6 linked regions of the Ovis aries genome follow. The protein of the gene in region 2 purifies or fractionates together with the protein of the main gene of each other region. This does not show direct contact. Links are inferred from orthologs where the notes say so. Each region holds a gene or a part of one and is shown on either strand. Other genes may lie near its edges. The genes, in order: EXOSC3, EXOSC10, EXOSC9, EXOSC1, EXOSC2 and EXOSC7.

What was found.
Region 1: the proteins of EXOSC10 (region 2) and EXOSC3 purify together in Homo sapiens (affinity purification with mass spectrometry; 8 studies listed by BioGRID and IntAct, counting the BioPlex papers as one, with this or other methods). This does not show direct contact. The link is inferred for Ovis aries from reciprocal best matches to the Homo sapiens genes EXOSC10 and EXOSC3.
Region 3: the proteins of EXOSC10 (region 2) and EXOSC9 purify together in Homo sapiens (co-immunoprecipitation; 7 studies listed by BioGRID and IntAct, with this or other methods). This does not show direct contact. The link is inferred for Ovis aries from reciprocal best matches to the Homo sapiens genes EXOSC10 and EXOSC9.
Region 4: the proteins of EXOSC10 (region 2) and EXOSC1 purify together in Homo sapiens (co-immunoprecipitation; 8 studies listed by BioGRID and IntAct, counting the BioPlex papers as one, with this or other methods). This does not show direct contact. The link is inferred for Ovis aries from reciprocal best matches to the Homo sapiens genes EXOSC10 and EXOSC1.
Region 5: the proteins of EXOSC10 (region 2) and EXOSC2 fractionate together in Homo sapiens (co-fractionation; 9 studies listed by BioGRID and IntAct, with this or other methods). This does not show direct contact. The link is inferred for Ovis aries from reciprocal best matches to the Homo sapiens genes EXOSC10 and EXOSC2.
Region 6: the proteins of EXOSC10 (region 2) and EXOSC7 purify together in Homo sapiens (affinity purification with mass spectrometry; 6 studies listed by BioGRID and IntAct, counting the BioPlex papers as one, with this or other methods). This does not show direct contact. The link is inferred for Ovis aries from reciprocal best matches to the Homo sapiens genes EXOSC10 and EXOSC7.

Annotation. Positions count from the first base shown.
Region 1 is NC_056055.1:50,986,924-50,991,821, forward strand, and holds the start of EXOSC3 (exosome complex component RRP40), read left to right. Parts: upstream 1-1,556; 5' UTR 1,557-1,571; coding exon 1,572-1,895; intron 1,896-2,896; coding exon 2,897-3,046; intron 3,047-4,769; coding exon 4,770-4,898. UniProt on the Homo sapiens protein: Non-catalytic component of the RNA exosome complex which has 3'->5' exoribonuclease activity and participates in a multitude of cellular RNA processing and degradation events.
Region 2 is NC_056065.1:41,798,273-41,802,541, reverse strand, and holds part of EXOSC10 (exosome component 10), read right to left. Parts: intron 4,110-4,269; coding exon 3,953-4,109; intron 3,600-3,952; coding exon 3,451-3,599; intron 3,283-3,450; coding exon 3,232-3,282; intron 2,342-3,231; coding exon 2,230-2,341; intron 511-2,229; coding exon 460-510; intron 287-459; coding exon 208-286; intron 117-207; coding exon 7-116; intron 1-6. UniProt on the Homo sapiens protein: Catalytic component of the RNA exosome complex which has 3'->5' exoribonuclease activity and participates in a multitude of cellular RNA processing and degradation events.
Region 3 is NC_056059.1:3,761,315-3,765,583, forward strand, and holds part of EXOSC9 (exosome complex component RRP45), read right to left. Parts: intron 2,636-4,269; coding exon 2,503-2,635; intron 1,497-2,502; coding exon 1,408-1,496; intron 738-1,407; coding exon 591-737; intron 3-590; coding exon 1-2. UniProt on the Homo sapiens protein: Non-catalytic component of the RNA exosome complex which has 3'->5' exoribonuclease activity and participates in a multitude of cellular RNA processing and degradation events.
Region 4 is NC_056075.1:18,489,472-18,494,226, forward strand, and holds the start of EXOSC1 (exosome complex component CSL4), read right to left. Parts: upstream 3,089-4,755; 5' UTR 3,058-3,088; coding exon 3,027-3,057; intron 2,920-3,026; coding exon 2,804-2,919; intron 337-2,803; coding exon 262-336; intron 1-261. UniProt on the Homo sapiens protein: Non-catalytic component of the RNA exosome complex which has 3'->5' exoribonuclease activity and participates in a multitude of cellular RNA processing and degradation events.
Region 5 is NC_056056.1:5,933,278-5,938,075, forward strand, and holds the start of EXOSC2 (exosome complex component RRP4), read right to left. Parts: upstream 3,278-4,798; 5' UTR 3,261-3,277; coding exon 3,139-3,260; intron 1,511-3,138; coding exon 1,409-1,510; intron 1-1,408. UniProt on the Homo sapiens protein: Non-catalytic component of the RNA exosome complex which has 3'->5' exoribonuclease activity and participates in a multitude of cellular RNA processing and degradation events.
Region 6 is NC_056072.1:54,175,931-54,180,868, forward strand, and holds the start of EXOSC7 (exosome complex component RRP42), read right to left. Parts: upstream 3,155-4,938; 5' UTR 3,121-3,154; coding exon 3,064-3,120; exon of another isoform or gene 2,818-3,063; intron 1-2,817. UniProt on the Homo sapiens protein: Non-catalytic component of the RNA exosome complex which has 3'->5' exoribonuclease activity and participates in a multitude of cellular RNA processing and degradation events.

The sequences.
Region 1 (4,898 bases), on a different chromosome or scaffold from region 2:
AACAGAATGGGAAAGACTAGAGATCTCTCCAAGAAAATTAGAGATACCAAGGGAACATTTCATGCAAAGATGGGCTCGATAAACCACAGAAATGGTATGGACCTAACAGAAGCAGAAGATATTAAGAAGAGGTGGCAAGAATACACAGAAGAACTGTACAAAAAAGATCTTCACGACCCAGATAATCATGATGATGTGATCACTCATCTAGAGCCAGACATCCTGGAATGTGAAGTCAAGTGGGCCTTAGAAAGCATCGCTACGAACAAAGCTAGTGGAGGAGATGGCATTCAATTGAGCTATTTCAAATCCTGAAAGATGATGCTGTGAAAGTGCTACACTCAATATGCCAGCAAATTTGGAAAACTCAGCAGTGGCCACAGGACTAGAAAAGGTCAGTGTTCATTCCAATCCCAAAGAAAGGCAATGCCAAAGAATGCTCCAACTACCACACAATTGCACTCATCTCACATGCTAGTAACGTAATGCTCAAAATTCTCCAAGCCAGGCTTTAGCAATATTTGAACCGTGAACTTCCTGATGTTCAAGCTAGTTTTAGAAAAGGCAGAGGAACCAGAGATCAAATTGCCAACATCTCCTGGATCATGGAAAAAGCAAGAGAGTTCCAGAAAAACATCTATTTCTGCTTTATTGACTATGCCAAAGCCTTTGACTGTGTGGATCACAATAAACTGTGGGAAATTCTGAAAGAGATGGGAATACCAGACCACCTGGTATTTCAAGTGAGAGCCTTGAAAGTCAGAAGGGGAGACCCAATGTGCTATTGATTTGCAATTCAGCTGCTCTTCACCTGGGCAACTAAAGCGTGCTCCAAGGAAAACAGCAGCAAAGATTTAACTGCAATTTCTGATTTTCCCAGGCCGTGGAGGGGAAGCTTAGTTATATGGAAATATGCAAGTGATATGTAAATATTTTCGGGGGAGGTGGGAAGGAAACGCAAACCAAAATGTCAACATTCATTTTCATTCATTCATTCACCAAGTATTATTTATTTCGTGCCAGGACCTGCGCTCGAAGAAAAAAAGTGAGAACTATCTGACAGCCTAGCATAAAGACAAACAGGGAGCAAAACTAATGCTTTTCATTTTCTTTCTATTCTTCTCTGGTCTTCCACAACGTGAATAGATAAAAGTTTCCTATGCAAAAGAAAATACTGAATACTCTTCCTGGTAAAAGATTAGCGGTCCCTCAGCACGTAGAGTCAGAAGACAGAGCCAACTCCCGAAGGCCTGCTCAGTTCCCAGGGTTTCCACGAAATGAAAGATGCTGGGGTCTCATACCCCACTGTGCATCTCAGACACCGGGGGAGGAGGCTCCGCAACTGACTCAAGCTAGCGTTTCTCCTGCGGACCTGCGAACAGACTGCTGGATGGGCGGCCAGCTAAAGACACGATCATAGCCATCTTGAGGGAACCCGCTAATCCAGAGCGATCGGACTTTGAAAACAGGTTCAAATCCCACAAGCCTGTGCTGCCGGAAACGGAAAGTCTTGGGCGAGCTGGCGATTGGACGCAGAGCCGGAAGCCGGAAACTGTATAGTGACGCCCGCGATGGCTGAAGTAGCGGGTGTTGCAGCGGAGTCCCTGGCTGGCTGCAGGGCGCGGGCAGCGCGGACGGTGCTAGATCAAGTGGTGCTGCCGGGCGAAGAGCTGCTGCTGCCAGATCAGGAGGACGGAGAAGGCTCAGGAGGTGCAGGGGAGCGACCGCTGCGCCTAAACGCCGCAGCGCGCTCCCGGGGACGCGTCGTGTGCGGCCCAGGCTTGCGGCGCTGCGGCGACCGACTGCTGGTCACCAAGTGCGGCCGGCTCCGTCACAAGGAACCCGGCAGTGGCAGCGGTGGTGGCGTTTACTGGGTGGACTCGCAGCAGAAGCGGGTAAGCTGGGACTCTGGAGGGGTTGTCCGGCTGGGAGAAGGCTGAGGATACTCTTCGGAAGCACGGAAGGGGCCCTGGAGCCTTCCTCTGATAAGGCTAGAGAAGAGCCGCTGGAGTCTTTGTGCTTACTTCTACAACTCCTTTAGAGGGACCGTGAACAACTGGAACGTGGCCCTAGATGGGCGACCAGGCGAGAAAAGACCCTGGGGAATATAAGGGCACATAAGAGGATGAAGACTGAGGCGTGGTCATTGTCTTCAAAACCTTATAGGTCAGGGAGCAGCAGACTTGCCTTTCGGTGTTCCAAAGACTCAAGTTCAATGAGTGGATGTCACAGGGAGTTGTTTCTCTTAGAATAAATAAGAAATTTCACATAGGAAGAAACTAACAACAGAATGACCTTGCTTGGTTGTGGGGACCCTTGTATCACTGCTGCTGCTAAGTGGCTTCAGTCGTGTCCGACTCTGTGCGACCCCAAAGACGGCAGCCTACCAGGCTCCTCCGTCCCTGGGATTCTCCTAGCAAGAATACTGGAGTGGGTTGCCATTTCCTTCTCCAATGCATGAAAGTGAAAGTGAAGTCGCTTAGTCGTGTCCGACTTCTAGGGATCCCAGGGACTGCAGGCTACCAGGTTCCTCCGTCCATGAGATTTTCCAGGCAAGACTACTGGAGTGGGTTGCTATTGCCTTCTCCCCCTGTATCACTGAACTCTTGCAAACCAACTCTAGGGAGTTTCTGATAAGAATTCAGAAGAGATAAGATGATACACTTAAATGAACACTGTTAGAAGCTGGAAATCTGAGAGTTTATCATGTGATTGGTTTTCTTTTAAGGGAGAGTGACATATGATCAGGTTTGTTGTAAGGTTTGTATTGATTTGTAAACATGGATTTTATAATATTTTCTAAATATTTAAATTACAAACATAACAACCGCTGAGGACTTGTTGAAGATGTCTGAAAAATGATTGTCATGTATGGTGGTTCTCTCATTTTTTGTAGTATGTCCCGGTGAAAGGAGACCATGTGATTGGCATAGTGACAGCTAAGTCTGGAGACATATTCAAGGTTGATGTTGGAGGGAGTGAGCCAGCTTCCCTGTCTTACTTGGCATTTGAAGGTGCCACTAAAAGAAACAGACCTAATGTGCAGGTAACAACAGGACCTTTGGTTTCAAAAGTAGCAAATATCCATTTCCTAAACAGTCATATATCCAGAAGGCTACCGGAACTGTCTTATTTTCCTAGTGCTATTGGGTGATCTTGGAGCATCTTTGTAATCACTCCAGGCTTCAAGAGTTCTTTCAGATGCTCCACCTCTGGGACCAAAGCCACATACTTAGTTTACATTTGCTATGTTGGGGGATATTTTCATCTCTGCTGAAAGGTTATATCTGTTATTTGTTATATCCATATACACTGGACAAGAAGTAAGCCAGAGGCTTGGGGAGGAAGGAACAGTGGTGGAAATTGCCATACACTCATCCGTCTTTTCTGGATGTGGGTCCCGGGACTTGTATCTCACAGCTTCAGTTACATCACTGTTTCCCAACAGTCCCATTTTGCAGCTGACAGTAGTCGTCTTGCTACTTCAAGTTTCAGCTTGGGCTTTTCAGGTAGCATGGCCACTCTTCCTGTCCATCCAAGCCAGAAATTTGGAGGTTTCTTTGCCTTTTCTCACTCATCCTTCATGTTGAGTCTCTCTGATTTGCCACATGTGCACCCCTTTATCTCCACTTTGCAAGTTCAGGCCTTGGCTGTCTCTTGATCGGACTTTAAGTCAGTGACCTCCTTAGTAACATCCTGCCTGTACACCTCTGCCCCTTCATCCAGGCTTTTAAGAGCTGACAGCCTCTCATACCCCTTTCTGCAAAAGAAAAAGTTCTTCAAAGCCTACATGTTACTATTTCCAGAGGTCTTCTCTCATCCATAATTATATCTCCATGTGGCCCTGCCTGAATTACACTGAACTATTTAAGAGCACCACTGAATTCATAATCTCTGCTCCTGTACCTTTGTTTATGCTGTTCCCTCTGTCTGGATTGCTTTATCCTCTTCTCAACCTGTGGAACACATTCTGGTCTTTCAAGACCCAGGCTGAGCACCACTAACCCTCTGTAAAAACACCCCTAATTTTCAGTCATTTTTCTTACTGGATTCAGCTGTGAATGAAGTTTGTTTACATATATATCTCCACTGCCCTCTGAAAGTAAATGCTCTAAAAGGCAGAGAATGTTCTTTCTAGTTCCTGAGTCACCAGCAGTTGTTGGTACTTAATGAAACAAGTTTACTCTTCATTTCCATAGTTGGTGTCATTTTGAAGTTCAACTTTTGAGGCTTTTAAAGTAATTATTGTATGGAGAACAGTCAATGAATTACTAATATTCTGTTTTGCTTTGAATAATTTGCATGCCAGGGGTTGTTTCTTCTGTAATCCCCTAAAGCAGTGCTGTGCAATAAAACTTTGTGGTGATGCTAGTGTTTTACATGCACTGAGTATTATGGGAGCCACTAAGTCACACATGGCTATTGAGCATTTCAAATATGGCTAATGCAACTGAAAAATTGCATTTTAAGTACATCGTTTTAATTAAATGTAAGTTTAAACAACTACATGTGAGTAGTGGCTACTGTACTTGACAGTGTAACCCCAGTGGGTACCCTCTGGCTTTGCTGAGGCTCCCAGTCTGGGGATTTTCTGTGAAGGGAAGGGTGAGGGTACAGGCTTTAATTTGCCTTCTTTTAGGACGCAACTCCAGCGGGACTGTGAGAATCCTGGAGTGTAGTCCGTCATTTAGCCACAGAATTGCAGATGAGTGGCGTTGATGCCTATTGAAAACAGCCAATATACTGATGTTTTTTAATTATCATTGTAGGTCGGAGATCTCATCTATGGCCAATTTGTGGTTGCTAATAAAGATATGGAACCAGAGATGGTCTGTATTGACAGCTGTGGACGAGCCAATGGAATGGGTGTGATTGGACAGGATGGTCTGCTTTTTAAA
Region 2 (4,269 bases):
ACTCACATTAAATAATGTGATGACAGCGGTAGCGACGAGACATCTGATGTCTGGCAGGGTCTCCTCGTCTTCTTGGGCGGAGAGGAGGCCCTCCTGCTTCTGCACCGGCACAGGCCCTACAGGGAGGGGAGTCAGCGCAGGCCAAGCCCACAGGGCGGCACACCAGGCAGCCCCACCCCCAGGACGTGCCAGGGGCCTCTTCGTTACCGTCGGTTGGGATGAGAAGGTAGCCATCTGACGGGGTATGGGAGCAGTCATGTGGGCCAAAGAGAACATTCTCCAATCTCTGTATCAAAAAGAAGGCAACAGGCCGGCGTGAAGGACCTGCAGGCAGGCAGCAGCTCTGCGACTAGATGACAGGCCCTGGTGTCTGTCAAGGAGGCTGGGTCTGTCCAGGCTGTGACTGGTTCCCCCTCCCTCCCTCCCTCTGAAAAAGCCACAACGAACATATCACGGTACCTCAGGGTTGGGCAGCGGCCCACTCTTCCTCACTCCCGCTGCGACTTCAGACTACAGAGTCAAAACAGACAGGGTGTCAGGAAAGTTCCCTAAATGTGATGACGCACTCGTTCTCTTTTTTTCCCTCAGTGCACACGTGTCTCTTCACTAGACGGTGTTTCTCAAGAGCCCGAGACTTTCTCTCATCCCTTCACCCCGTCTAGTGCCTGGCACTGTAATTACTTGTGCTCAGTAATTATTTGTTGGATGAAAGAATAAAACCCTTTATCACAGTGAGGCACAATACAGGATTCCAAAGAGTTTGAGAAAGATTTTTGTCTAGTCACTGGTGTTTTGCTCTTTACTGGGCAATGTATGGAGTCAAGAAAGAAATATTGGCGTGAAGACATTAAATGTGCTTATCCTCAGATTCTCTTCTTTTTTACCTCAAAGGGGCTGATTTCAAGTCGCCTGTGATCAATAATCTTTCAAAAAATTACAAACATGTTTTACACATGCTAATATTATTACTGAGACAAAACATTAAAAACGGTGCCAAATAAAACACAAATCGAAACATGCATATCCTTCTGAACACCCTCTCTCCCACCCCATAGCAAGGGCAGAATAAATGTTTGTATGGATTAAAAACAAAACAAAGTACACACACATGTAAACCTACACATAAGCTTGTGTAGACATACTGTTAACATCTACACAAGAACACAGGTGTGTTGGTATGTACGGGTTTGTATTACGGGCTGGGCATCCTGCTTTCACCTAAATCTGCCTAAACTTTAGCATCTTCTTCACAGTTAGCTCTTTCTGAATTCCCTTCTCTCCGGGGTGCTCCTGTTTCTTATCACCTCGGCTTTCTTGTGTGGAGTGAGTGGTCCTTGACTCCACTTCCATTATCTTCAACTCTACTTGCCATTCAGAGAACACCTCTAAAGTACTTAGCATGGTGCTCAGAAAAGAACCGCAGCCACTGTCACCACCTGTTATGAAGTCCCATCAGTCTTTGCTTTTGAAGGTGTTTCCTGAACCTGTCTTTTCCCTTCCATTCCTGTGACTGACACACTCATCAGGGCTCTTATCATCTCACTTTGGACTACTGCCAGGCTTCCAAAATGCAGTCTCTGTGCTGAGATCCCCACTCCAGTTTACCCTGCAAGGCTGACTGCCTCGGGACAACAGCTAACCAGCCCATCATCAGACATCATGAGACATCACGGGCCCTTGGATTAATAAAGACAAGGTTGCAGAGAAAGAAGGATGAGGGTTTCCCTGGTGGCTCAGTGGTATAGAATCTGTCTGCTAATGTAGGAGACGTGGGTTTAATCCCTGGTCTGAGAAGACCCCACATGCTGTGGAGCAACGAAGTTCGTGTGCCGCAACCGTGGAGCCTGTGCTCTAGAGCCCGGGAACTGCAACTTCTGAGCCCAAGTTCTGCAACTACTGAAGCCTGCGTGCCTTAGAGCCTGTGCTTGGCAGCAAGAGAAGCCACTGCAATGAGAAGCCTGCATGCTGCAATGAAGATTAGCTCCTATTTGCCGCAAATACAGCAACGATGCTCCAGCACAGCCAAAAATAAATAAATAGTTTTTTTTAAAGAAGGATGAACTTTAGCTTCTGACTATCATAAAGACACACCCACTGGATTTCCTAAATCCTATTATTTCCTCCAGCTTTTTTTTTCAGAATGGAGACGACTCACGTGTGAAGGAGATTATACGGAGCAAGATGCCAGCAGACAGAGCTGAGAATCTCTGGAGTTGGGGAGCTTCTTACCTTGAGCAGAGGCATCTCTCGCGCCTGCTGAATCAGAAGGTGCATTTCGTTGATCTGCTGCCGTACGAGAGGAGGCACGGGGTTACAGCAAGCAATGATGCCCTGAGGTTCCCTGAAGGAAGAGAACACATTCAACATTGCCCAGAAGCTCGGCCCACAAAGGCTACAGGGAAGAACAACAACGCGGTGAAGCCAGAGTGTAGGTGCTCAGGTGAGAACTGAGGGAACACGGTCTGTCAGGGTGGCCCCACTGGCTGTTCCAAGATGTGTTCTCTGCTGCACTCAGCCCTGAGCAGACGCCTCCTACTGCTGCCTGCTGCTCTCAGGGTGGGCTGGAACGCAGCCCCACAGCTCTGCTCACCTGCAACCCTGCAAGGAGGTGCCAGGTGATGCTGAGTTTGGTTCTTTGCTTATACTCCAATTAACATCATAAGACATCTAAAATCATGAGACACCTTAATCCAGAAGGAGGTACAGATGAAAGAGTCTGAGACATTTTCTCTCCTTTAAAGTGGATGCTCCAGGCTCAGAGACTTACACGCTGAGGCTGCTGTTAAGTCACTCAGTTGTGTCCAACTCTTTTGTGACCCCCATGGACTGTAGCCCACCAGGCTCCTCTGTCCATGGGATTTTCCAGGCAAGAATACTGGAGTGGGTTGCCATTTCCTCCTCCAGGGGATCTTCCCTACCCAGGGATCGAACCCATGTCTCCTGCATTGGCAAGCGGATTCTTTACCGCTGAGACACCTGGGAAGCCCAGAGACTTACATGGGAGTCCATATAAGGGATAAACATGGAAATAGCTCCAGTTCAGAAGCTCTGCTTCCTAAATGGCAGTGCACGGGCAGAGATTCTGCATTTCTTGGACTTGCTAACTTCCTCAGAGCACTAATCTGCTCTGAGTAAACAGCCCTGAGGTAACAACAATCAGGGAAGCTGGATCTGAAAGACAGCACTTTCTCTACTGAGGAAGTCGGAGCACATTAATCAGTCCTCACTCACTTGGGCAGCTCCTCAGCTATCTTTAGCATCATGTGGTTTGGCAGGACGTATCTGGAATAAAACACACAACAGGATCCCATTAAATTCTGCCGACAAGCTCCATGATGTGCTGTAACCCTGGGAAAACATAATCAACTTTCATGGTGAAGAGAGTTGAAAAAGCCCATTATTTCCTTGTCACCACACCTAGCAAGAATGAAAGGGATTGATAGTCCTTACCCGTAACTCTCATCTTCCCGACGAGCTGTTTTATCCCTCCAGGCAAACAGCAGCTGAAAGGCCGTCAACTGCTGTGTGTTCAGATGCTTCTTCTGCTTCCTATAGAGTTCCAGGTAAGATTCATCTGTGAAGATGGGTTTGATGAATTTCTGCAAAATATTAAAGAATGCTCAAGATAAGTGGGAATCAGTACTGTGTCCTGGGCTCTTCAGGACACTGGGCTCTTTCATGAACGTAAACCACAAGGAAGACGAGCACCGCCACAGCCACTGAGCCGGTGTGCCTAGAGTCCATGCTCTACAACGAGAAGCCACTACAGCGAGGAGCCCACAAACCCCAGCTAGAGAGTTGGCCCCACTTGTGCAACCAGAGAAAGCCTGTGTGTAGCAACAAAGACCTAGTGCAGCCAAAATAAATTAACTCATTAAAAAAGTTTTTAAAAATAAATAAAAGAGCAAAGCAGAGCACAGGGACCCAAGTGGAACCTGGGCCCGGGCTGTACCTTGAGGCAGATGTCGCGACTGCGCTGCCACACCACCTGCAGCTGTGTGGGCTGCTCGTTGCCGCGCTCCCACAGCTCCAGCCGCATCTTATCATAGATGTACAGCAGGTAGTGAGTGTCATCTCGGGCATAGCTCAGCATTTCCTCAGGCAGAGGTCTAGGATTGCAACAGAGAACGCTGTTTCACTGGTTTCCCCTGAGGTGGCAATTTGACTCGTCTACCCTGTGGGTTCCTGCTGAAGTCCAAGAGTCTCCCCTGGCCAATACTACAGCCCCACCAGATTCTCAGGCATCCTCATGGGACAAGCCGCTCTTTC
Region 3 (4,269 bases), on a different chromosome or scaffold from region 2:
CACTTGGCAAGTTAAGAAAACTGAGTAACAAATATACTGCTATTTGATGCAGTGTTGAAACAATTAGAATGTAAGTTCTCTTCTGTTAAGTCTGAAGTTCACCTCAAATTATTAGGAAAAAAATTATCAACGGCTATACTATGGATGGCTGAACAATGAAGAAAAAATGTAATTCAGGTTAAGATTTTATGGACAGAATGGGTGACAAATATCAAGACACACACACTGGCTTGGAACATTTCAGTTGTAGTAATAAATTTGGTGAATGAATCAACTTTAAGAACAATGTAATGATGTATATATAGGGCTTGACTATGTCACTGAGATTCAAGAATTTTTCCAAAGGAAAATAAAACACTGAAAGTTGTTAAAGTATAAACTTTTCTGATTTCTGAGAAGAGAAGCTGAAGAGAAGGCAGATGTTACACCATCAATTTACTTCATCACTCTCTTGTCTTGTAAATGTTTTTTTCTGTTTTCAGAAAACAAATTTCAGTATGCACATACTTCACACAGCCCTAATCATGCCACAAGTATTATAAATCTTGTTTTTACTGGAAAAAAAAAAAAAAATCACCCAGTAAAGATACACTTCTGAAGGAGGTTCAGCTTCAGAAATGATTTCTTCTGCTTTCTCTTCTACATCGGAGGTATCAATAGGGGCCTTTTCCATTTTAAATGCTGTAATCCTTTGATTTGCCATAGATTCTGCAAAGCCAAACTTTCCACCTTCTTTCCTATGTGGATTTTTTTAGGGAGTGGGGAGGGAAAGGGAGAATGAGATGGAAGAGAAGACAGGAAGGAAAAAAAGTTAACTATTTTATCCTTATGATAGATGAGAGACACTGGATGAGAAATCATTTGACTAACTTAATCTAACCCATTTATTTGGCCTATCAAGTGAGATAATAGAAAGCTACTATAATTAACCATTTATTAAACCACATGCCAAGCATGTGCTATGTGCTTGAGGTATATTATTCTCCAAACCTCAAACCAGCCCCACCAGGTAGGCAGTAACCTCCCAGACCACAGCAGACACTGAAGTGCCAAGACACACTATCGCTTAACATCACAGAATAAGAAGAGATGGGGATCAACCCTAGCTTGTGTTCTGTTAGTATAAGTTACCAGATTCTCTTTTTCCTGAGAAAATGTTATTTTAAAAAAAAAAAGAAAGAAAGAAAAGCATTGTGTGGCTTTTCAGTACAGATTATGCTTAAATGGAATGCAATACAATAAACAGTTTGATCAACTTTCAAAAACATTAAGTACTATATTCAACTGAGACTATTAGATAAGGAAAGATTTGAGTGTAAAAACTATATGGTTATGCTTGTGCAAGAAAAGTCATTAACAGAAAAATTTATAACAAGACCATTCAATTCTAAAAAAAAATAAACTTACCTAACTTTCTGGTCGTTCTCCAAAGCTTTCTGTATTAGCTCTGTAATTTCCACTACTTTCACACCAGCTATTTTACTACATCTCAAAACCTATTTATAAAAGTGAATGCTATTATTTACAGACAACAAATCAAAGAGTTTTCTTTAGCAAAACTAAAAACATAAGATTAGTTTTACCTTTGCAATTTAAGCCTTACTTTTTTTTCAAATTAGAAAATAATACAATATAAAAACACAAATTAAGGCAAGATGTAAGAGACTTTTAATTAAGGGAAGTGACCCAAAAACTTCTCTATGACAATGTAAGATACCACTAAAAAGGCCACACATACACTCACTTCCTTTCTGTGAGTGATCCCTATCTCTGCTCAAGACAGAGCTGCAAAGTGTCCCATCAGAAGCTTTCATAAAGCAGATTCCCAGGCCTCAGGGACCAGTGGATCAGAATCTCTGGAAATAACATTTACTGTATACTTAATTTATGCTACACAGTCCAAAGTATCTATATTGATCCTTACATTCTCCTAACGAGAAGGTGCTGACAGTAAGATTACTTCCTATTTTACAGATAGAGACTGAAGCACAAAAAGATGAATTAATCTGCCGAAGGTCAGTTAGTGTAAAGGCAGAGCTGGAATTCCAACCAAGTAGCCTTTGTGCTCCTAACCAGCTGCAACATGTGCTACGTGGCAATCTATTTTCTAAAAGCCCCCACGTGAACCTTATATGCAGCTGGATTTGAGAATTTCTGCCCACTGTACCCAAATCTCAAAAGTAAAATTTATACCTAAATCTACTTTATGACACTTAAAAAAAACAGGGATATAAACCCCTTTCCTCACTGGGAAGAAGAGTATTCCTCTATGTAGAGGGGCTTAGACTGGGGAGCGCCGCACACAGGGGAGGAGGGGAGGAAGGGAGGAAGGGCCCCTGGTGGCATAAGGACAACAGAGCATAAGGACAGTCATGGAACCAGAGTCTAACAGAGCCTAGGATCAGCCACGGAAAGTACCTGTTGGATTTTAGGCAAAAATCAAGAAAAAGCTTCTAAAAACATGAGACCTATTTTTAATGGAACATCAGTCAAAATACTGACTTGATCTTTTAGCAGCATTATCCCACCACTGGACTGGATGGTACAAATCTCTCGGTGCTTATTCATGGCAATCACCAGCAAGCCATCCATTACACGTTCTTCTCGTTCACTGGGATCCACCAATAAATATGTTCTGAAATGAATGTTAAGTTTACCTGAACAAATGTGACACTGAGTGCTTGTCAATTTTCTTAAACTGGATAACTGCTTGACAATACTGTGTTGGTTTCTACCATTTATCAACCATCTATCAGCCATAGGTATGCCTATGTCCCCTCCCTCCCACCTCCCAGCCCATCCCACCTCTCTAGATTGTCAGAGCACCAGATCTGAGCTCCCTGCGTCATACAGGGAGTGTCCACGGGCTGTCTAATTTTACGTATGGTTATGTTTCAAAGCCACTCTCAATTTGTTCCCTCCTCCTTCCCTGCGTCCACAAGTCTGCTGTCTGTGTCTGCATCTCCATTACTCCACTGCAAATAGGTTCATCAGTACCATCTTTCTAGATTCCATATGTATGTGTTAATATATGATATTTGCCTTTCTCTTTCTGACTTAGCTCACCCTGTATAATAGGCTCTAGGTTCATCCACCTCATTAGAACTGAGTTAACTGTTTTTCCTTTTTATGACTGAGTAATATTCCATCGTGTATATGTACCACAGCCTCTTTATCCATTCATCTCTCAATAATCATCCAGGTTGCTTCCATGTCCCGGCTATTGGAAATAGTGCTGTGATGACACTGGAGTACATGATGTCTTTTCCAATTACAGTTTTCTCAGGGTATACATATATAAATAAATAAATATATATATATGCCCAGTAGTGGGATTGCTAGGTTATGTGGTGGTTTTATTCCTCATTTTTTAAGGAAATTCCATACTACAGTAGTTGTATCAATTTGCATTCCCACCAACAGTGCAAAACAGTTCCCTTTTCTCCATACCTTTTCCAGCACTTATAGTCTTTAGATTTTTTCATGATGGCCATTCTGACTGGTGTGAGGTGATACCTCATCGTAGTTTTGATTTTCATTTCTCTGGTAATGAGAGATGTTGAGCATCTTTTCATGGGTTTATACACTATGTGTATAGTCATGAGCAACGTTGAGCATCTTTTTTTATGTGTTTATATGCCATGTGTATGTCTTCTTTGGAGAAACATCTGTTTAGATTTTCTGCCAATGTTTTGATTGTTGTTTGTTTTCTGGTATTGAGCTGAATGCTGCTGCTGCTGCTAAGTCACTTCAGTCATGTCCAACTCTGTGCAACCCCATAGATGGCAGCCCACCAGGCTGCCTGGGCGTCCCTGGGATTCTCCAGGCAAGAACAGTGGAGTGGGTTGCCATTTCCTTCTCCAATGCATGAAAGTGAAAAGTGAAAGTGAAGTCACTCAGTTGTGTCCAACTCTTCACAACCCCAAGGACTGCAGCCCACCAGGCTCCTCCGTCCATGGGATTTTCCAGGCAAGAGTCCTGAAGTGGGGTGCCACTGCCTTCTCCATTGAGCTGAATGAGCTGCTTATATATTCTGGAAATTAATCATTTGTTGGGTTTGCTACTATTTCTCCCATTCTGTGTCAGTTTTAAGATAATGGATATTTTAAAAAGATTTGTTATTGTTCAGCCAAGTCATGTCTGACATGAGCTGTAGCCTGCCCAGCTCCTCTGTTCATGGGATTTCCCAGGCAAGGATACTGGAACGGGTTGCCACTTCCTACTTCAGGGAAATCTTCTCAACCCAGGGACTGAACCCACATCTCCTGC
Region 4 (4,755 bases), on a different chromosome or scaffold from region 2:
CAGCACAGTCCAGTAAAACTTTCTGTGATGATAGAAAAATTCTGTTGACCAACATGGCAACCACCATTCGCCTGTGGCTACTGACTACTTGAAATGGAGCTAGCAGAACTGAGGAAATAAATGTTAAATTTGTTTTAATTTTATTGAAATTTAAATGACGTTATGTGACTATTGGTTACCATATTGGACAGTGCAGTTCTATAAGGATCATGATTTCAACACTGGATGGTATCCTAAGCAGGGAGGTTAGGACCAACTTACCTTGCAGGTTACAATAGCTCCTACATCTGGCAGTAATTGGGACTCCGTTTCTCTCATCACAGATATGACAGGAAGCTGCAGAGAGAAAAATAAAACATGAATATTCTGGCTAAGCCTTGGATAAAGGTATTTGAGACTTGACAGTAAAATGGGAAACCTTGGGCCACAGTAGACGTCACATGGGCAGGTGGACAACAGATTCATTTGTAGCCCAGAGCAGAAAGCCTTAGAAATTTTAGGATACAGGAGGGCCAAGGGGCCACAGAAAGAAAGGTGTAAGAAGATATAATCTTACCACTTCAGATGAGTTCTGAGTTTTTTTGTGATTTTCTTAAGAGTTTTTCCACATACAACTACATTGCCTGTAATCATGGATAATTTAACTCTTTCCTCCAAAGTTACATCTTTCTTTTGGTTTGTCATTTTATTGGACAGGCTAGAATTTTCAAATAAATGTTATATAACAGTGGCCATACTTGTTTACTTCTATTTAACACTTGTAGAGTTTCCTCTTTGAGCATGGTACTGGCTATTGGTGCAGGAAAGATATTTTTGAGCCCGATCTTTTCTTAACCTTTCCCTTGTTCAATATGCTTCAGCTCTCCTGGTCTTTTTTCAGTTTCACCAATTCACGAAATTTTTTCCCATCTCAGGATCTCTTTTCAACCTGCTCTTTCTGCTCACTCACTCAACTCTTATTTATCCTTTAGATTCAGACTAAATATCACTTCTGACTAGGCTGGATTTACCTATTACATGTTCTCATGGTACTCTGTAATATTGTTTCAGAGCAGCCATCATATGTGTAAGTATACCTTCATTTGAGCATTTATTTGCTTAGTTTGTATCTGTACCCCTTGATAGCAGAGACCACATATATTTGGCTCATTATCACATCCCACAGCTATAAAATGAACAAACTTTCAAATCCTAGGGAAATTCCCCAAATTGATCAAATACAAAAGTCTCTCATTTTATAGGTAAGAACCTATAAAGGGAGTGAAAGTTTCTTACCTAAGGCAGAATTAAGGTTTAGTCAATACTGAATCCTCTTTCTACTATGCTCCCAGTTTCTAGGGCGTTCCTGGTGGCTCAGCTGATAAAGAATAATCTGCCTGCAATGTCAGAGACCTGGGTTCGATCCCTGGGTTGGAAAGATCCCCTGGAGAAGGGAATGGCTACCCACTCCAGTATTCTGGCCTGGAGAATTCCACGGACTGTATAGAGATTTGGGCTTCCCTCATAGCTCAGTCAGTAAAGAATCTGCCTGTAATGCAGGAGACCTGGGTTCAATTCCTGCGTTGGGAAGATCCCCTGGAGCAGGAAATGGCAATCCACTCCAGTATTATTGTCTGGAAAATCCTATAGACAGAGGAGCCTGGTGGGCTACAGTCCATGAGGTCTCAAGTGTCAGACACGACTTAGCGACTAAACCCATGCCCCCCACCACCTCCAGTCTTTAAGCTGCTCCTCCAAGAACTGCTTATCTGATCCCAAGCTAATAATGGATCAGCCTCTGGAACCAGGGAGAATAATATTATTCATACATTCAATAAACATCTACTGAGCATTTACCTCGCGCTACGTGCATAGTAGTGGAAGGGTCTAATGGGGAACTTATAACTGAGTGTTAAATTGCATGCTGAACTAAGTGCTTAGAAAGGGAGTAACAGCTCTTGGGACCTCCCTGGTGGTCCCATGGTTAAGACTCTGACCTTTCACTGCAGGGGGGATGGGTTCCTTCCAAGATCCTGCATGCTGCCTGGCAAAACAAACAGGCAAACTGACCCCAACAGTTCTTTGTGAGTGTTAAAACAAACAAAAAACAAAACTCCCTTTTTTGACTAGTGGTGTCTATAGGGCTTCTCTGAGAAAGTGATAACTAGTGAGGTTATCTAAAGGGTGGTGGTGGTTTAGTCGCTCAGTCGTGTCCGACTCTTGCGACCCCATGAACTGTAACCCGCCAGGTTCCTCTGTCCATGGGATTTTCCAGGCAAGAATACTGAAATGTGTTGCCATTCCCTTCTCCTGGGTCTTCCCGACCCAGGGATCGAGCCCGCGTCTCCTGCAATGGTGGTGGATTCTCTTCCGCTGAGTAGGTAGGATTTAATCGGGCTAAGGAAGAGAGGAGCGTGTTCCAGACAGACGGCGTGTGTACAAAGACTCTGTGGTCCACTGGCGATATTGAAAAAGACAGTAGGACTTCTGCAAAGAGTGAGGCGCGGGTAGCGGAGCGAAATGAAGCCAGAGAAGCAGGCGACATTCGGCCAGGATTCAGCTCACAGCACGGCTGAGCTCGCCTCCGTTCTTTCCCCAGCTTGCTTCCCGGAGGGTCAGCAACACAGCCAAGCCAGACAACACAATTAATTTGTGATGGCTAAGTGTCCAGCAGCGGGGATCCCAGCTGTCAGAAACTCAGAGACTAACTCCTTCTCCTAAACCAGGCACTAAAGACGCGCTCGTAGGACCCTGCCTAAAGACAGTGAAATCAAAGGCAGCGTAAGACAAAGAGACAGAAGAGAAGGGAAGCTGCCCCATTTACCGCGCCGTTCTCGCTGGTCTTTGTCAAGCAGCCAGCAAGCGACGAAAAGATGTAGCCGTGCCGGGTGTAGGTGCCGCTGCCCGGGCTGCCCTCCTCCAAGTTACACAGACGTTCGCCTGCGGAAAAAACGCTGCATCAGCCACGGGTCCGCTGAAGCTGTTGGTCGTCTGGCCTTCTTGCCCCTGTCTCTGCCCACGATTTGCTCTAGATACCGCTGACTTACCGGGGATGCAGTACCTCACGGGTGGCGCCATGACTGCCACTGTTCCAAATCCCGAGGAAAATGAGGCCGACCTCTCATTGGCCAATATCCAGGTGCAGTTACGCAGTAAGAAACGCGCTAATTGGTGTGCTCTATCTGTAATCTCCGGAAGCGCTTCCAGAAGACGTAAACTCCATTTCCCAGGTTGCATCGGGACGAATTCGGGGGCGGGGCTTCGGAACTCTCGCGCTTGCGCCTGTGGACAAGGATGGGCGGGCGGTGGGTCCGGGTCTGCAGGCTGGACCTGTGGGCGGTGGGCCATGGTTGGTTGGATTGAGCAGGGCCGGTGGACGCCGAGCTGGAGGGGGTGGCAGTGAGCTGCGGCGGAGGCTGCGGGGTTCGACTTGGCTGATTGAGGAATCGGCCAGCGGCAGGTAAGAGCGAAGCTGCGGCCTTTTCTGCCCAGTCCTGTCGCTTTTAATAGGGTCGGGCCCTGTTCCCGGGCCTTGTGAGCCCGAGTTCCTGCTCTGCACGGCCGTGCCCTCGAACCGGACGGAACACACCCTCCGGGCAGCCCTGAGGCGTGGAGCTGGAAGGTCACCCCAGCCAACTCGCCCATTTCACAGATTTGGAAATTCATCCCCAGGGATAGGATTAGAATTGTACAGTATCTCTAAAATCAAGATAGAGACCGAACGGGTACTCAAGTTATTTTTTACTTTCAGTCTATCATTCTTTGTTGAGAAATAAAACGTTTCCTCAGTTTCTGTAACTGCAGTCTCCAATCTTGCGGAAGCGTGCTAGTCTGGAAGGAAAGTCTGCATGAATTAGTGTTGCTTTTACTGATGATTGACACTTGCTGCTTCAGGCAGTAAACACCCTGAAAACAGCATCTTTGTTCAAATGAGTTATGTCGACTTTGTTTCCTCTGCTCTTCGGTGTCTTTGGAATCTATGTGTGTCCTCCCACCCCTAATAGCCCCCATGTCCAGTTTCCCCTTGGGAAAGAGTTGGTGACTGAGAGCCTTGGGGAGAGGAGAGTGCTGTGACCTACACTCCCCTCTGAACTGGTGGCACGTGTCACTATGTTGGTAGGACTGAGGGATCAGAGTGTTCAAGGCTTGTGTTGGGGGTGATGCTGCTGCTGCTGCTAAGTTGGTTCAGTCGTGTCTGACTCTGTGGGACCCCATAGACGGCAGCCTAGCAGGCTCCCGCGTCCCTGGGATTCTCCAGGCAAGAACACTGGAGTGGGTTGCCGCTTCCTTCTCCCATGCAGGAAAGTGAAAAGTGAAAGTAAAGTTGCTCAGTCTGTCTGACTCTTAGCTACCCCATGGATTGCAGCCTACCAGGCTCCTCCATCCATGGGATTTTCCAGGCAAGAGTACTGGAGTGGGTTGCCATTGCCTTCTCTGTTTGGAGTGATAGGGAAACTCTTATTTCCTGCCCTGTTCACTTCCATCACCACCCTTCACCCCCAACACACAGTTTTTTGAGTTCTGCTTTATCTCAGTTTCCTGAGATGAAAACTTATGTTCACTTGTGGTCCCATGGACTACATATTTCTTCCCTGGCATTCCCATACCCCCCTAAACCTCATTAAGTAAAATAAGGGAAGGGGGCCTTGGTCTCAGACTTCTTTTACATAATCTGGTCTTAAGCTCTGTACCTACAAGCTTTCAGCTTACATGTTTGTGTTGATTACTGGTTGGATAGTTTTCTAGAATGATTTCTAACTCTGAAGTGCAATGATT
Region 5 (4,798 bases), on a different chromosome or scaffold from region 2:
ATGGATATGCAAGGGATATTTTCTGGTGGGCTCTGGAACACAGACGAGTTCCACATCAGCCAGAGGAGGAGAAAGGAAAGTGAGGCAGGTACCTCCCAAACCGGTCTACTCACGTCTCCCTCAGCCACTGGCTGCATGTCTCGGATCCCTTTCCTAATTCCTCCTCCCAACTCTAATGATGAATTAGAGCCTCCACTCTGAAGGCTAAGTCCTTGGGCCTCTTCTCTTTCCAGCCCACACTCACTTGGTGAGCTTACCCAAGTTGATGGCTTTAAATGCCACCGATGAGTCCACCATTCCCCTGAATTCAGGCTCTAGCTCTAGTCAACCACTGGCTACCCAGCACCTTCACTTACGTGCCTAACAGGAATCTGCGTAAGTTAGAAACCTCAAACAAAGCTTTCTAGCAGCCCCTTCAATTCCACTATAGCAAATGGATCCTCTCCCAACTGTCACCGGCCCAGGAAATAGCAACTCCACCCCTCCGGTTGCTCAAGCCACAGTCCTTGGAGTCTTTGGAGGAACCGTGTGTATCTCCCTCCTCCCCTCTCTCTCCTGCTCCAGGACAGGTCCAGCAGCAGATTCTAAGACCTCTACCTTACCAATGTAGGCAGAAAATAAAAAGCACCCCAAAGGAAGAAATAAAACGATCTCTTCTCACAGACATAGTCCTACGTGTAGAAAAGCCCACATACAAAATCCTACAGCTTTTCACAGTAAATACACGCAGAACACGAAATACACGCAGAACTGATCACTATTCCCCACTTCTATGGCTATCACCTTAGTCCAAGCCACCACCAACCGAGATGATGAGAACAGAGCAGGAATCTGGCTCCCTAACCCTGCCCCACCCCCGCCCCCAACAGCAGCCAGAGTGACTCCATTAAAACAGAGGGCGGCGGATCAGGTCCTTCTGCTCCAGGGCCTTCCTAGACCGCACAGAGTGGAAGTCAGAAACGTTTATCGTGGCTGCAGGGCATGCAGACTGCCTACCTCACCTCTCTGCATCTGCTCCTACTACTCGCCTGCTCACTCTGTTCCAACCCCACTGGCTCATGTTCTGGGGCTAACCTTTACTGAGCCCTCAAGGCAGACGGCTCTCTGTGTAAAGTACTTTATACACACTATTTCGGTGAATTCCAAGGAAAATCCTACCCAGGAGGTCAGGCAAGGTCTCATTTTGCAGGAGAGGGAACCCAAGTTTGAAGAGGTCAGATATCGTAGGGAAACCTTTGAAGCCTACCCTTACCTACAGTCATCTCTACCCTTCCTCCAGTCATGTTCCCGAAATCCCAGCCCTACAGAACGACAGGGCAGGCAGGGCTGGGGGTAGGGGGTGTGTCATGGCAGAAAAGACCTGGCTGTGCAACTCAGATGCCACAAAATACACACCTTTTGCTCTCACCTGGTTTTCAAAGCTTTTACACAGATCAACTTGTTTACTCTCTCCACAGAGCCAGCCACAGATGCAATGAGCTTCTCTTCCCCCATGTAGGTTCCATGGCCCCTGTTGCAACAGGAAGATACAAAGGATACCAGGGTAATATTTGAGGTGACCTCTAGCAGCCAGAACAATGTGTTCCTCAAATCTGATTCCTCCTGCCTCAAAGACAGGCTTTTCTGCTGGCTGCCACCTCTGCCTAAACACTCCTTCTTTAGAGTCCTACGTGGCCATCTCTTGCACTGTACTCAAGTCGACTCAAATGGCATTTTTCCACCAGGCCTTCCTCAACTCTCCCATTTGTAATAGTCACCCGCCCTGCGGCTGCCATCCCCACCATATTTCCAACTTATGCTCCACTTACCCTGCCTCACTTCTTTATTCTTTTCTACTGCATTTACCAGCAAATATTCTAAATAACTTGTTTGTTGTGCTTATTTCTCATCTGTCTGTCTCAGAACATAAAGTCCACCAGGACAGAGATTTCCTCTTTGTTCAGTTTATACCCCAACCACAAATAATATTTATGGACTGCATGAATAAAGGACTGAATCTTAAGATTTCCTGGGAACCAATAATCCCAAACTAAGAGGTTAAAGGGCAATGGAATAAACGCTGTACCTCTCTCATATGCATATGGGGGGAGGGCAGAGGCTGCCTGAGGTATGAGTAGTGTTGACCACTGTGATGGTGATAGAATGGTGAGTCTTACTTTTTTTCATAATCATTACCCCTCATGTAATCCTTCCCTGGTGGCTCAGACAGTAAAGAACCTGCCTGCAATGCCAGAGACCTGGGTTGGATCCCTGGGTGGTGAAGATCCCTGGAGAAGGGAATGCAACCCACTCCAGTATTCTAGCCTGGAGAATTCTATGGACAGAGGAATCTAGCGGGCTACAGTTCACCGGGTGGTAAAGGGTCGGACATGACTGAGGGACTAACTCTTCCACACTTTCACTTTCATGGAATCCTCACCATTCTCTGGAATAGTTATTTTACAGACGAGGAAACTGACCTCGGAGAGGTGATACAGCTAATATTGTGACGGCAGCAGGACCGGAACCCCAGCTGCCCTTAAGCTGGAGCCTGCCCTCAGACTCAAAGTTACCTATTCTGGTGCATGTAACATAATATATTTGCATGCCCCCTAAGCCCAAAATGGCAACCCACTCCAGTATTCTTGCCTGGAAAATACCATTGACGGAGGAGCCCGGTAGGCTACAGTCCATGCGGTCGCAAAGAGTCGGACACGACTGAGCGACTTCACTTTCTTTAAGCCCAAGCAATGGCTCGTTCCAAAACCGTGCCCCTGGCTAGGAGACGGAATGCTGAGGGCTAAGTGGAAGAAGTCAAAAACGCCCACCATCCCTTCCGCCGAAACCTGTGAGGAGGCCCTAGCTGCAGGTTCAACGAGGAAGGCCTCAGAATCGGGGCCTGAGGCACAGGACCCACGAGTCACAGCTACCAGTGATCGGGACAGGAAGGTTTCGGGGGAGCTGAGGCAGCTACAGACGGGGACATACAAGAAGCAGGAAGTAGGAAGTCCGAAGCCTCGAAAACGAGGCAACTGAGATGCTCCCAGATGCGCCCCGGGTACCGCGAGCACTTAGATGCAGAACACAGGCCCAGGTTTGATGCGGAAAGAGAGCAATGCAGCCGCCCCTGCCGCCCAGTGTCCCCACAACCCCACGTACCGCATGAAGCCTGTGTCCGTGGTGATCGTGTCCCCTGGCACCACTAGGTGCTTTTTACTCTCGCGGCCCAGGCTCTCGCTAAGAGGCTTCCGAGCGACGGGAAGCCTCATCTCCAACGCCATCTTGGCGCCAATAACTCGCGCAGGCGCAGCCCCACTCGGAGTCACGCTTTCCGTCTCCGCAATTTCCAGCCGTCGCTCATAGGGGCGGGGCCTCAGAACAGCCGCCAACGGGAACTCACGGTCTGGCCTCCATGTTGGCTACTGGCAACCATTAGGTTAACACGAAGGGAAGGAAGGAGTCAAGTTGCCATTTTTACTATTGGCAAGGCTGCTCTTGTCAAATAATAAAATCTCAGGTTGCATAGCGTTCGACTTTTCAGCAAAACTCTTGTGCTCATCTCACTTACTGTTTTCCAGGGTTATAAATAATTGTGAAGTGGGCCTCTGAGTTTCCTTCCAATTCAAAGCTGCTGAAATCTCTCTTCTTTGGTATGCGATTGACCAGGAGGATCAAGAGGAGAAAACACTATTTGGACAGAGGAAAGAGTCTCTTTTCGTACTGTTACTAGTAGCCCCTGTATTCTACATTACTGTCACTTCGTGAGTGCTAGTTCAGCACCAACCATCATCTACACCCCCAAACAGTGCTGCAGGTGCTGTTTCCATTCTTTCTTAAGCGAGCTGATTTCCCTGGTATTTCTTTTGGAAAAAGCAAGAAGCCGTCTAAGAACACATTTAAATCTTGCCAAGCGGGTATGTTTTGTCAGGGAGGACAAATGGACACAATACAAAGATTTTCGCGTACATTTACTCACACAGTGAAATGAGCCAGGAGCTGTCCTAAGGGTTCAGTGATGAACAGATGGAAGGATATGTGGTTTTATCTAGGCGTCAGGAGTATTTCGCTTGTCCCTCTCCCCAGGTGCTACCCTCTCCCTCACCCTTGGCCCTGCATGCTTTATAGCATTCGCAACAGACTTAGTTTCAACCTCAGGGAATTGGAGGTGATAATTCTTCATGCAGGCTTCCCAGGTAGCGCTAGTGGTAAAGAACCTGCCTGCCAATGCAGGAAACATAAGAGACACGAGTTCAATCCCTGGGTCGGAAAGATCCCCTGGAGGAGGGTACGGCAACCCACTTCAGTATTCTTGCCTGGAGAATCCCATGGACAGAGGGGCCTGGTGGGCTATGGTCTGTGGAGTCTCAGAGTCGGGAGTCGCAGAGTCAGGCAAGACTAAAGTGACTTAGCACAGCACAGCCCAGTACAGGGATTCTAAATAGGATGAAATAAAATAACTTGCATCAGCACCACTCACTGAGACCAGTAAATTAAGTCTGTTTTCTCCTGAAGACCCATCAGACCAATAGCCTGGTAAATCTTCAAAAGGATAGCATTTCTTTCACCTAAGCGTGGCTCACAACTACATTTGTCTAGAAAGCCAACCCTGTAAGGTAGTCAGTTATATAGATTCTAATTGCTCACAGGTCATCAGTAAGTGGACAGCCAGACACTTGCCCTCCTCCTTGCCTGGAGAAGGGGCTCAGTTCAGTTCAGTTCAGTCGCTCAGTCATGTCTGACTCTTTGTGACCCCATGGACTTCAGCATGCCAAGCCTCCCTGTCCATCACTATCTCCTGGAGTTTATTCAACCTCATCTC
Region 6 (4,938 bases), on a different chromosome or scaffold from region 2:
TCTTACAACAGGACATCCTGGTAAAGAATGCGGAACTAATAAGCTACTGCTATCTTTTCCTTTTGGGAAAAGTCAAAAGGAGAGAGGGGATGCCAGTCCATACATACTACTAACGTCCCAGAATCCTCCTTGCTGGAATCCACCTTGGCTGAGTGATGTGTGCGCCACCAGGAAGGATGCTGCGTCAGGACGACTGGCCAGAGGCAGCCCAGAAACTAACTTCATCACCGTGAAACCCGAGGCTGCGAGCTGCACAGCAGAGTAGTTCTCCCGGGTTCCCTCACCCTGCTGCTCTCCACTTGGGTGCCCCTTCCCAATAAAGTCTCTTGCTTTGTCAGCACGTGTGTCTCCTTGGACAATTCATTTCCAAGTGTTAGACAACAGCCTACTCACTGGCCCTGAAAGGGGTCCCCCTTTCTACAAACTCCTCAGGCAGAGCGGCAAAGATTTCTACAGCAGACTCCAGGCAGGCTGGACCAAGCCAGTGGCTGGTCCAAGGTCCAATGTCTAGTGACTGCATCAAAATCTCCCAACATTTATGAAAATACCCATTCCCAGGCTCCAGCCCCAGCCCCAGCCCCAAGGATTCTGATCCAGAAGATCCAGGTAAAGCCCAGGAAGCTGTATTTTGTGAGTAAAAGGCACTTCCAAGGTCTCAGAATTACTGGGCTAAGACAGAAGTTAGCAATGTCTTTCCAGGGAGGAAGAAAGCACACATTTAGCCAGTTAAGCAAACCTGAAAAGAAGATTAAATGCTAATTCTGGAAATTCTGAAACCTGCCCCCAATTCCTGAATATAAGAACCAGCTTGGGACTTCCCTTGTGGTCCAGTGGTTAAGACTCTGTGCTCCCAATGCAGGGGGCCTGGGTTGGATCCTAGTCAGGGAACTAAAATCCCACAGGTCTCAAATAAAGATCTCAGATGCTGCAACAAAGACTGACGATCCCTCAGCTGAGACCCAGCATAGCCACGTAAACAAAATACTTAAAAAACAAAACCAGTCAGATACAAGTAAGTAAAACAAGAGTTGTACAAAAAAATGCTAACTAGGGTTCTAAAGAAGCTTAGAACCAACGTGGGAAAAACATTACCTAAAAAGGTAATAGTAATATATGTCCATATACTATTTAAGGCCTAGAAAAATGCGGCGGGGGTGGGGGTCAGAACTTGCCCTCCCTGCTCCTGTTTTGCCGACGCGCTTTCAGAGGACAGAGCAAAGAAAGAGAAGTGGAAGCCGTGGGCATTCTCCCTGGCTTTTATTTCTGGGTGCCTATTTTTAAAAAGGGAAAATAGCACAAGGCTTGAGCTGGGCTTTACAGTCAGATCTGGATTTATATCCCAGTTCCACTGTACAAAGAGAGGGTGGGGGGTTCCGGAAAAAGGCAACCAGGCATGCATGGCTTTCTGGACACAAGGGAAGCCATTTTAGTCCTCAGCCTTTTTGTGATCTACTCCTGGCCACAATGCTTGCCCTTGAACATGTCACGGTAATTAATCATCTTGAGGGAACTACAGAATTCAGGAAAAAATGGAAAAGCAACGAAGAAACAACAGTTCTCAGATAAAACGGAGCCCTAGTTTTTCTTCAATGGATATACTTAACAGTTTGATACGAACCTTCGAGTTGTTCTACAAGAACTCAGGGGCCCACTCAGCTGAAGGATGGTAACTCCAGGATAAGACCCCAACGTGGCCACAACCTGAAGATGGTGTTGCCCTTCTCTTCCCCATGGTGAAGTGAAGCAAAGTGACAGTCGCTTATTCGTGTCTGACTCTTTATGACCCCATGGACCATACAGTCCATGGAATTCTCCAGGCCAGAATACTGAAGCCATTCCCTTCTCCAGGGAATCTTCCCAACCCAGGGATCGAACCCAGGTCTCCTGCACTGTAGGTGGATCGTTTAGTAGCTGAGCCACCAGGGAAGCCGTCCCCTTGGTGACTCCAATCAACTAAGGCCTGGACTCCGCTGACCTCTGCCCCGACTTTAGGCCTCCTCCTCTGCTCAAGCCCCTTCATGACTATACACGTGCCCTTAGCCTGTTTTCCAGTTTTGCTATTGGTAGACATTGCTTCTGAAAAGATTCCCAGAGTCCCCTTGCTGCTAAGTCGCTTCAGTCGTGTCCGACTGTGCGACCCCATAGACGGTAGCCCACCAGGCTCCCCCGTTCCTGGGATTCTCCAGGCAAGAACACTGGAGTGGGTTGCCATTTCCTTCTCCAATGCATGAAAGTGAGAAGTGAAAGTGAAGTAGCTCAGCCCTGTCAGACTCTTAGCGACCCCATGGACTGTAGCCCACCAGGCTCCTCTGCCCATGGGATTTTCCAGGCAAGAGTACTGGAGTGGGGTGCCATTGCCTCCTCCGAAAGTCCCCTTACTTGATGCAATTAATAAATTCCTCCTTCTCCCATTCTCTGGCTTGGTTGTGTTTTTTGGTTCAACATCCAAGGGTCAACCCCGGAGAAGCGACGGCTACCCACTCGAGTATTCTGGCCTGGAGAATTCCAGGAACTGAATAGTCCATGGGGTCGCAAAGAGTCGGACAGGACTGAGCGACTTTCACGACCAAGAGTCAAACCCCAGTTTTGCGGTAATACCACCACACACTTACCTTACGACCTCAGACAACTGACTTAACCTCTCTGACTTAGTTCCTTATATGTAAAGCAGACATAACACTCACCTTCAGGACTTAACAAAAATTCAATGAGATTAAAAACTATGACAGAGCATGTATCTAACAAAAGTGAGACAGCTCAGCCTTCAAAGGCTGAGAGGGGATTTAACAGAATCAGGGACTGCCCACCGCGTCCTACCCGAGCTTGGAACCTTGTAGACCCGGAAAGATCCAAGTACGCATACAGTCTTAAACGGATGCTCGCCGCCTGGTCCCAAAGACGCCTGCACGGGCGGCTTTAGAGCTGCACATGCCGGCCGCATAGCGGTCTAATCAAAGGTAAACCCAGCCTGCCGCAGTCTTTCCGGGCAAGCCGAGGCCCGGCATCGACCCGCAGGGCCAAGGGAACCCGGAGGCCGGCGCCAGTACTGCCCGCTGCCGCTACCTGAACGCCATGCACAATGTACACCTTCTCCGCCTCGCTCAGCGCCACCGACGCCATGCTGCCGAGCCTTCCCCGCCGCTTGACGTCATCCGCCCGCGTCGCCCCCCGCCAGGCACAACCCCCCCTCCCATGCGTCATCAGCCTGCGCGGCGGCCGCTCCTGCAGCTGCCGCCGCCACCACCGCCGGGGAGCTCGATGGGCTTCTCCTGCGCGCCGCCCTGTGTCTGGCCGAGTCCAGGGAGCCGCGGCGCCTCGTTCCTGGGAGCCATCGCTGCAGCCCAGGGCCGGGTCCCGGGTCGGGGGCTGAAAGGGGAGCGACGACGGCAGCGGCAGCCGGAGCCCCACCGAGGGGGCTGGGACTGGGGAACTGCCTCTGGCTTCACGGTCAGTCGGGTGAGGAAACTGGGATCCGGCGAGAAAGCTGGGGCGAGGCGCCAGGCGCGGGCCGGGGCCGGAGCTCGAAGGGGTAGCGGTGGAAGAGGCGTGCGGCGCAGTTTGCTCAGAGCTGGAGTTGAAGTAGCCGGTCGTGTGCGTGCGTGTGTGTGAAGAAAGAGACCGACCCCAAGTGAGAGGTGGCGGACGTCGCGATTGGCCTGAGAGAGGCTGTCTCTTGGCTCTCCTTCCTGCCCTCATGTCATGTATTTCTCTGGCCCATGGGATGGTGGGGAGGAAAGAAGCGATCAAGCCCTCTTTAGGTCGTTCTCGGTGATAAGGATCTGGCCGGGAGTGAATGCCCTTCTAGTCCCGAGACGTCTTCAACTGCACCCCATGGATTCCCCCACCCCCCCACCCCCGCTCTCTCTGGGGCTGGCTGACCGAACGCTGACCCCCGCCCCGGAACCTTGCAGGATCCCCATGTCCCGGATGGTTGCCGGAGCTTTGTCCCAAAGAGAGTAGAAGGGAGAGTCTTGGTCAGCGCTGGCGGGGGGGGTTGCGGGGGCGCAGTGCCCCGGCGTCCCCAGCGCTTCCCAGCAGGGACTGGAAGCCCTGGCTTGACCGGGTGATCGCTGGGAACCGTGGACAAAAAAAAAGAAATGCCGGCCCCAGTCGTGACCAAGTAGGAATATGGGCCTTGAATATCCAGAAAGGATACCTGCAAGGTGAACGTGGGGTCACTGAAGGAGCCCATTAAGGCGGGGTTGATAAGGCAGGAAACAGATTTTAAAGGGGCCACGTAGATAAATGGAGGAAAGTTAACCCAGAAGGATAGTAGCAACGAGGGGATCTGATGATTTTTCCAAGTGCCCCACTTTTGAGGAACCTCCCTGTTGTCAGAAGTGAAACTAACCCTTGACTGCTTGATCCTCCAAAGAATGGTTGGTGTCTCAGATAGTAGCCTCAATACAGTTTCACAGATAACTCTTGGGAGCCTACTGTTGATGGGCTTTGTGCTAGCTTTGAGACACTGAGACAAGTGAAACACAGCTTCTGCCCAGAGAAGCTCCCAGGCAGAGGGAAGGCTCCAGACCCAGCATAAACGTGGGGGTGAACAGCTGTGACAGTGGCACCGGTGAACATAGTGGGACCGGGAGGTTGTATACCCTCTGAAGAGGGTATGGAGAGGACGTACCTGCCCACATTCTGAAGCCCTAAGCTGCCGAGCCCCCAAATAAATCATCTCTTCTTAGTGGACTGGACCTTTCGTTGTTTCCGGTCTCTCTGTAACTCTCTGCAGGTGTACCTATAGGGAGGATGTCTTGCAGTGTTGAATTCTGCCCTCCAGGAGACTTGGAGAGGTAAACCCAGAAGGGTTTCCTCCTTCATGAAAGTACAGGTGCCCCACCTGTTGGGACACATGCGCCTGGAGGCCTTTGGGTGATTGAACACCTGGATTCTAATGAGCACCTGGGTGATGAGATAACAGGGCACTTCTGG